2 linked regions of the Nothobranchius furzeri genome follow. The protein of the gene in region 1 binds, or shares a complex with, the protein of each later gene. Links are inferred from orthologs where the notes say so. Each region holds a gene or a part of one and is shown in the gene's direction. Other genes may lie near its edges.

What was found. Proteins that work in one complex are often made in the same cells at the same time.
Region 2: dnaaf10 (region 1) and pdrg1 share a complex: the UniProt entries of both Homo sapiens proteins name them as parts of the PAQosome complex. The link is inferred for Nothobranchius furzeri from reciprocal best matches to the Homo sapiens genes DNAAF10 and PDRG1.

Annotation. Positions count from the first base shown.
Region 1 is NC_091752.1:37,855,855-37,859,608, reverse strand, and holds the start of dnaaf10 (dynein axonemal assembly factor 10), read left to right. Parts: upstream 1-1,300; 5' UTR 1,301-1,383; coding exon 1,384-1,569; intron 1,570-1,990; coding exon 1,991-2,091; intron 2,092-2,195; exon of another isoform or gene 2,196-2,228; coding exon 2,229-2,359; exon of another isoform or gene 2,360-2,429; coding exon 2,430-2,531; exon of another isoform or gene 2,532-3,754. Other genes in the region: RNA-binding protein PNO1, read right to left, coding at 42-125, 220-366, 797-994. UniProt on the Homo sapiens protein: Key assembly factor specifically required for the stability of axonemal dynein heavy chains in cytoplasm.
Region 2 is NC_091743.1:5,381,740-5,385,493, forward strand, and holds the start of pdrg1 (p53 and DNA damage-regulated protein 1), read left to right. Parts: upstream 1-978; 5' UTR 979-1,049; coding exon 1,050-1,133; intron 1,134-1,272; exon of another isoform or gene 1,273-1,441; coding exon of another isoform or gene 1,442-1,471; intron 1,472-1,581; coding exon 1,582-1,657; intron 1,658-1,879; coding exon 1,880-1,954; intron 1,955-2,036; coding exon 2,037-2,117; intron 2,118-3,628; coding exon 3,629-3,711; 3' UTR 3,712-3,754. UniProt on the Homo sapiens protein: May play a role in chaperone-mediated protein folding.

The DNA of each region.
Region 1 (3,754 bases):
AAAACACTGAGCTCACGGAAACTTTCCGATAGTTTACTCACTTCAACCTGGAATCCAAGAATAAACGCTCGGACAAAGTCTGCAGCTTTTGTGAGTGCGCTGATGTCCTGCGTTTCTTTACATGTCTGGAAAAAAAAGAGAAAATACAAATCCAGACAGAAGGGTGAGCTCCAGCACAAAGCTGTTCTCCTGGTGGAATACGTAGTAGAGGAAACTCACTTTAATTTCAACACTCCTGGTTTTAAGATTGAATCTGACTTGGAGTTGTAAATTCTCTACGATGGGGGTGAAAATCTTTAGCCAGTTTTCCTTGAGAGGGGTGTATCTGTGACCTGGAACAGGAATTTTGCGCATCTCATCTGGTCCCTGCAACACAACATTCAGCGTTAATCTCCACAAAAATTTTCAAAGAATAACGCCAAATAGACTTCACTTAAAAATATATTTTATAATATTTAGTGATCATTTTAAATTAAACTTTTCAGTTGCTTTCCATCATTGAGCACATTATTCCAACCAAGTTAGAGGATAACAAATGCCAAGGAAACCAATATTAGCAATTGAGCACGGACTAAATTGATATTTTAACATAAGTATGTTTTAATGTCATTTGTGACATTAAATGCGAGCTTGCACCATTTTTGTCGACCATAGTGCGCAGGCGCAAAGCTGTTACTAGTTAATAAGCCAATGTAAGAACAGTAAATAATATAAATATACATGATTTACAGAAAGTGCTGATTTTGATCCTAAAACGTATGTATTATATAAGAAAACACCGCAATTTCGTAAATACCCGTAATTTGTCTGCAGATATTGGTGGAAACTGTGGTCGTTTGTTCGCCACGCTGTCCTCCGTGTCCATGTCCACCCCGTCCTGTTCACGTTTTCGCTTCTGGGTCTTTTTAGACTTCACCTTTGTGAACGACTCAGAGTCGTTTTTACTCTCCGCGCCCACCTCCACCTCTGGGGTTTGGTTTTTATCGCTGTCCATCTCAACAAAAGTTTAAAAATCAGATTACAAAACAAGAAACTGAAGCAGATTCTGGCCACAGTCGCATCGGATGGCCTCGTGCGACGGCAAGGACCCAAACTGCGACATCATCAACGCCTAGACATAAAAACGTACAAATACACGCCAGGATTGTTAAAAAAACTATTAATATGGAGACATTTATAACATATTACATTCATTCAACATATTATGAGTTATTTTATTGTTTATATTTGGTATATGTATTCACTACGGTGGTATTTAGTCAGGCATTCCTTTAGGCAGCTGCGGTCTTCTTAGTCTCAATGACGTTTGTTTTGAGTCCAGTTTATTTCCTTTTTAGTAGACTTGTCTGCAGTTTTGCTGGGAACCAATCCCCTCCATTTGAAATGTCATCGCCGCTTTCAAAGCCTCAAGTGATCGCGCACATTCAGAAGAGTTTAAACTACACGGTGTTTGACAGTAAATGGATTCCGTGCAGCGCAAAGTTTATCTGCCTGGGGAACTATCCTAGAGGGACCGGAGTGATTCAGATATATGAGCTGCAGCACGGAGAGGCTCAGCTTATTAAAGAAGTGAGGCCATTACTGTTATTGTTACTCACATTATGTTATTGTTAAGATTTGTTTAGGACGTGTCATTTTCTCTGGTTATCCCGGAATTAACTGGGTTACATAGGTTCTAGAAAAGTCTTGAACGGAAGTATCCATGGCAACTGGCAGTGTGTCGATAGGAAATGCCCTTTTCTCGTTGAACAAAAAACCCAGTTAAATGACAAAATAGTAAAAACACACAAATAAATACAATCAGATAAACGTGCAATCTGAAATCTGAACTTGTTCTCTGATGGCAAATATTAGAAGATAGATAGATAGATAGATAGATAGATTGATAGATAGATAGATAGATAGATAGATAGATAGATAGATAGATAGATAGATAGATAGATTTTTTTAACAGTATAATAAACAGAATCATACATTCGACTCATCCCAGGTGGAGAAACCCAAACCTCTAAAGTGTGGGACGTTTGGTGCCACTTCTCTGCAGCAAAGACACTTAGCAACTGGGGACTTTGATGGAAATCTTAATATCTGGTAAGTTGCCACAAAATCTGTAGAATATTCAAGGAAAGAACCGGTTCCCCTTTCTTTCCTGTGTTTTGTGTTCATTTGTATGAATAACAAGGACGTGACAAGTATCACTATTTGTTATTTATTGGTGTCATCTGCAGGAATCTTGAGTCTCCTGAAGTGCCAGTGTACACGGCTAAGGCCCACAAGGAGATAGTAAATAGTATAGATGGTGTTGGTGGCCTGGGGATTGGTGATGGTGCTCCTGAGATAGTTACTGGAAGCAGAGATGGTAAAAGTATTAGATGTCTTTCCTATTCACACATCAGTAAAATAACAAAAATACTACTGTTTTCCTACAGGGACAGTAAAAGTGTGGGACCCTAGACAAAAGGATTTACCTGTGGCCAACATGGAGCCTGTGGAAGGGGAAACCAAGAGGGACTGCTGGACAGTTGCATTTGGTAAAACTTATCCTCAGAGGGGGATTACAGACAATACCTGGCGACAAAAACATGGACCCTTCACTCAGTTCATTCAGCTAATTAATACGACTCAAAAATATTTCAGTAAGAAACTAAAACCATTTGGTTTGTTAAAAAAAAGGAACTTGTTCTAATCTATTAATTATATCATTAATAATGAATTATATAACTAGAAATTATATACTTGTTCTAATCTGTTCAAATAAAAAACGGAACAGTTATAATATTTAATAAAATTTAAATATTATTTATTTACTTTTTCTATAATTAATTGACATCTTTCACATTTTAAATTCGCTGAATTCTTTGCCAAAGATAAATAAGATTGTTCATCATTGTGATGCCAGCTTCCTCACACATCAGCAAACACATTAGCCTCGTTTCTTTCTACAATTTCTGCCGTATTGTTTTCATTTCATTTTCTAAATGAAATAGTTTTGTGTCACATCTGGAATTGTATATTCCAAAAAAGTAAACAGTTGAGCAAGAGTGCTGATTTAATATTTTTGGGTTATTTTTTCCATGAAATTTACATTTACTGACAACGGTCACCTGCTGTTCACATCCTTCACTTACACAAGGGCTGGTGTTTAATTATAAGGAATAAAATCAAGTAAGTCTGCAGAAGTCTTTTTTTTTTCCTGTCTCTTTGCTATATGAGTTATGTGTTTTAGGTAGTGATGCACCGATATGAAATATTTGGGCTGATACCGATATTAAGGTCACTGTTATGGTCGATAACCGATATTTGCCGATACCGATATTAAGGTCACTGTTATGGTCGATAACCGATATTTGCCGATACCGATATACTGACATTAATGCTTCTAAAATCAGCAGATTTTTTATAGAATAAAAGTTATTAAAGCTGAATTTACGTTATTATGTACACACACCACACACACATTTACGGTTCTGAGATGATAACATTCACTGTTCACATGACTAAACAATTACACATCACTCCCCCACCCTCTGAAACAGACAAACAACTGGAGACGAGATGGAAAAAATTTCGGTTGTTAATATCGGCCCGGTTTTATTTATCGAACCGATAACGACATGTTAAAAAAATGACTAACATTGGCCGATACCGATATTGATGCCGATATATTGTCCAACCCTAGTTTTAGGCCCTAAAGCTGATCCCGGTTATAAAATGGAAAAACAGACGCAGATGTAGAAGCACCAAAACCTGATGT
Region 2 (3,754 bases), on another chromosome or scaffold:
CTGTTTCTGGAATATTTGGGTCCATTTTCAAACCTGGTCAGTTCATTACACCCGTGACCACCGTGCGTGTAATGTTGCTTTTAAGTCCTGTCCATCATGAAACTTGGTTTAAAGGCGTTAATGCTGAGTCCACTCTTATTTTATGTGACAATAACAGATGTTTCTGGAAGGGATTCAGCTGAAGTTTCAGGAACGATGGACTTTTTTCTATTGGTCCAAGGAAAATGATTTGTAATTTGTTTGTTTTGCACAGTAACTTGTACATTTTGACTATAATACACAAAGGTGTGGACTCGAGTCACATGACTTGGACTCGAGTCAGACTTGAGTCATTATTTGAATGACTTCTGACTTGACTTGATAAAATCTATAAAGACTTATGACTTGACTGGACTTGAACACCAGTGACTTGTGACTTGAATCGGCTTGCATCTGTTGACTTGATGATGACTTGAGAATGTTTGATATTTTGTCACAGAAGTGGCACGACATGGACAAAAATCATAAATCATTCTTGGTTCTGGGTTTGATTTACTGCTGAATGCAGCAGCGCTTTGTTTATAACCAGTCTCAGTTTCTGCTTGTTTGAGCAAAAAAAAAGAAGCTTTAAGAAGGTTTTTTTCTGGAATTAATTTATTATCATCGTCATTAAATAGAAGTTGGACAGATGGCTTGATTATCACTTGAAAATTCAAAGTTAAGGACTTGACTTGGACTTGGTTGTCTTTGACTTGGATTTGACTTTAGACTTGAATGGAAAGACTTGTGACTTACTTATGACTTGCAAAGCAGTGACTTGGTCACACCTGCTATACATGAAGAATTTGAGCCCACTTGGACATGCTTTTGAAAATGTTTTTCCTATTTATTTAGTTTATGATGAGAATATTTACAAAAATACAGAAAAACATTTGTATGTGGAGTATGTACAGTCTATGGTCACACCTCTGAAAATACATTTGTGAAAAGCTTCGCGGCGGATGCGGAGGTGACCTCTCTCCAGCAGGGGGCGGTAGTCCACCGTTAGCCCAGAAGAAGAAGACTCAAAGATGGACGACGCTTCTCTGCGTGTTTTGGAGCGCTTGACTGAAGTGGAAGAGGCGGCTGAGGATGTTCTCACCGCCAAACAACAGGTAAACACATCCAGACCCACCGTGGCCAGGCTGGTTCTGTGAGACCCGTAGCGGGTTACAGCTGCTAGCTTCATGCTAACAAGTGTGAGTGGAAGTGACGTACGCGGTGAGACCCGTAGCGGGTTACAGCTGCTAGCTTCATGCTAACAAGTGTGAGTGGATGTGACGTACGCGGTTTTCAGACGCAGTTCTGTGCGTTAGCAGCTTTATGCATGAGGATTTTAGCGGTTGGAGCCAAGAGAGCTAAGTTCTGGTGTTGGTTCAACACTTCATTTACCCGTCACCACACCGATGTTGTCTAGAGTCAAATGTCCTTCTGTAGCTGGTCCAGTCAGGTGGTGCGTTCATGATATCTGAAGAAAACTGTTGTTCTAAAACCACACACACACGCACGGATATCCCAGTTAATAATGTCCTCCCTTAAAACAAACGTGTGTGTGTGTTTCAGATTGTTGACCTGGACATGAAGAGAAACTTCAACAGAGAGGCGCTGAACGCACTGAAACATGAGATGTCGGATAAAGGTTTGTGATCCATCAGCACTCAGGCCACCAGAACACCACAGAGGAACCCTTGTAGCTACAACAACCAAACGTTCCCATAAAGCTGGAACATCCGTCTGTTATTATTGCCTAAAGGAACACGTGTAATCTGTAAATAATCTCAGGCTAATTATGAAACTCGTGGTTGTTTATTGGTGACCCTGGTGATGAAGGAGTAATGGCCGCCTCTGCTGCCGTCCACAGAAAAAGTCAAGGTTTGCTTTGGAAACATGTTCATCAAGTTCTCCAAGTCTAAAACGACGCAGATGATCCGGAAAGGTGATCCTTTATCGTTTACAAGTTAGATCTTCCGTTTTTAACACGAGTCGAATTTAGTCTGAGCCGTTTCTCCAACCTGCAGACCAAGAGCAGCTGGACAAGGAAATAAACCACCTTCGCAAAGAGCTGAGAACTAAAGTCGGTCGTCTCAACGAGATCGAAGGTATGTGTGTTGTGACACATCAGCGGTTCCATCCACCACACTAATGATTCAAGCACCGGTACTACAGACCCTTGTTCACCTCATAGATCCTCACGAAACAGCAGTCTCCGGATCAGAATGGACCTGGAACCATTTCTTCATTTAACATTTATTTTATGGGCACTAAATGAAAGCTAAAGCTTTTTAAAGAGTTTATTATTCTGGTTATTATAATAATAATGATAATAAATGTGACCATTAATTTGGTTGCAGTCTCTCGGACACTTCCTAAACGTTTAGTGTGCTCATTTAGAAAATATTTATCGTTTGTTAGAAAAGCAACACTGGAAACTAATCCTCCAGCTTCATATTGTTTTAATGAGAGGTCCATTTTCATAGCAGGACATTGTTGTTCGTGAACTGCATCCTAGTGAGCACACTTCTCTTCATTATGAGGCACAAACAGTAAGAAACTCTGACTGCAAAGAAAATAATCAGGAACTCGATGAAAAAGCACCGACACTGGGATCCTGGTGTTGGAGGTCTAGACTCGTCAGACCAGGCAACGTTTTCCGGTCCCTTCTGGTGATGCTGTGGGGATTTGAGGCCCAGGTTCCTGTTGTTGGCTGACAGCTGGTGTGGTCTTCTGCTGCTGGAGTCCATCTGGTGCTGGGTTAGGGTTGAGTGTCTGTTTCAGAACTAAAGGTTCTAGTTCAGTGAGCTGTCGGCCCAAAGCACCAGCTGTCTCCCAACAGGTGTTGTGAATCCTTCCGTGTGATAAGTTGTTGGATCTGAGTGGAGAAAGAGTTAGTAGTGATGACCCGTTTTATCACAAAACGCCGCTCTGACACATTTTTCACGCGTTCTTTGGCTTACCGTAACAGTTTTTGTCTTCTGAAACATTCAGGCGGCTTCTGAAAGAGAAGCGTCACAATAATAAATTATTTTCAGTTCCTGCAAGAAGTGGACGGCTCAGCCTCTCCGTCTCACACTCAGACAACGACAGACGACCACAGCTGTAAATAGAAATGACCGTGGTCGGGCCACGAAAAGGACAAAACCCTGGAAAAACGACCAAGTTCCCCGTGTGGTCAGCTCAGTCACTGGGCTCCTGCAGCCCACACACCCAACCCCCCAACTGGGCTCGCCCCGGACCTGTACAATAGTAGACACAACAGATCCCGGGTCAGTCAGGAACGCTGGAAAGGAGATCAGATTTGAGGATCACATGATCACGGTTTTATTTATTTCAGACTTTCACTCCACAGGGGCGTGTGCTGAGCCCCACCTGCACGAACCACTCGTGTGGCTGTTCTGCTAGCACCTGCACCTGAAGCTTATCAGTGATGTTGGTGTTGTTGGTTTGATCTCACACGACGAGCAGCTGGCGTGAGTGATGGCGGTGCCGGAGCTGATGGGTGTTTGGAAAACATTTATTTGTTGTTTGAGTTGATCCTTTGAAGCACCTCATGTTTGTCTGTAGAGTATTTGTTGTTTGTGATATTTTTTCTTTGTTGTTTGCTTGCTTTCAGGAAATCCTGAGCTGAGAGGTTATAATCTGTCTCCTCTATCCTCTGATGAGATGAAAGCTATCACCAGCCTTCTGAAGAGATGAGCAGCTAACTGCTGAGGACGAAAACGCCGACGTGTTAAACCCA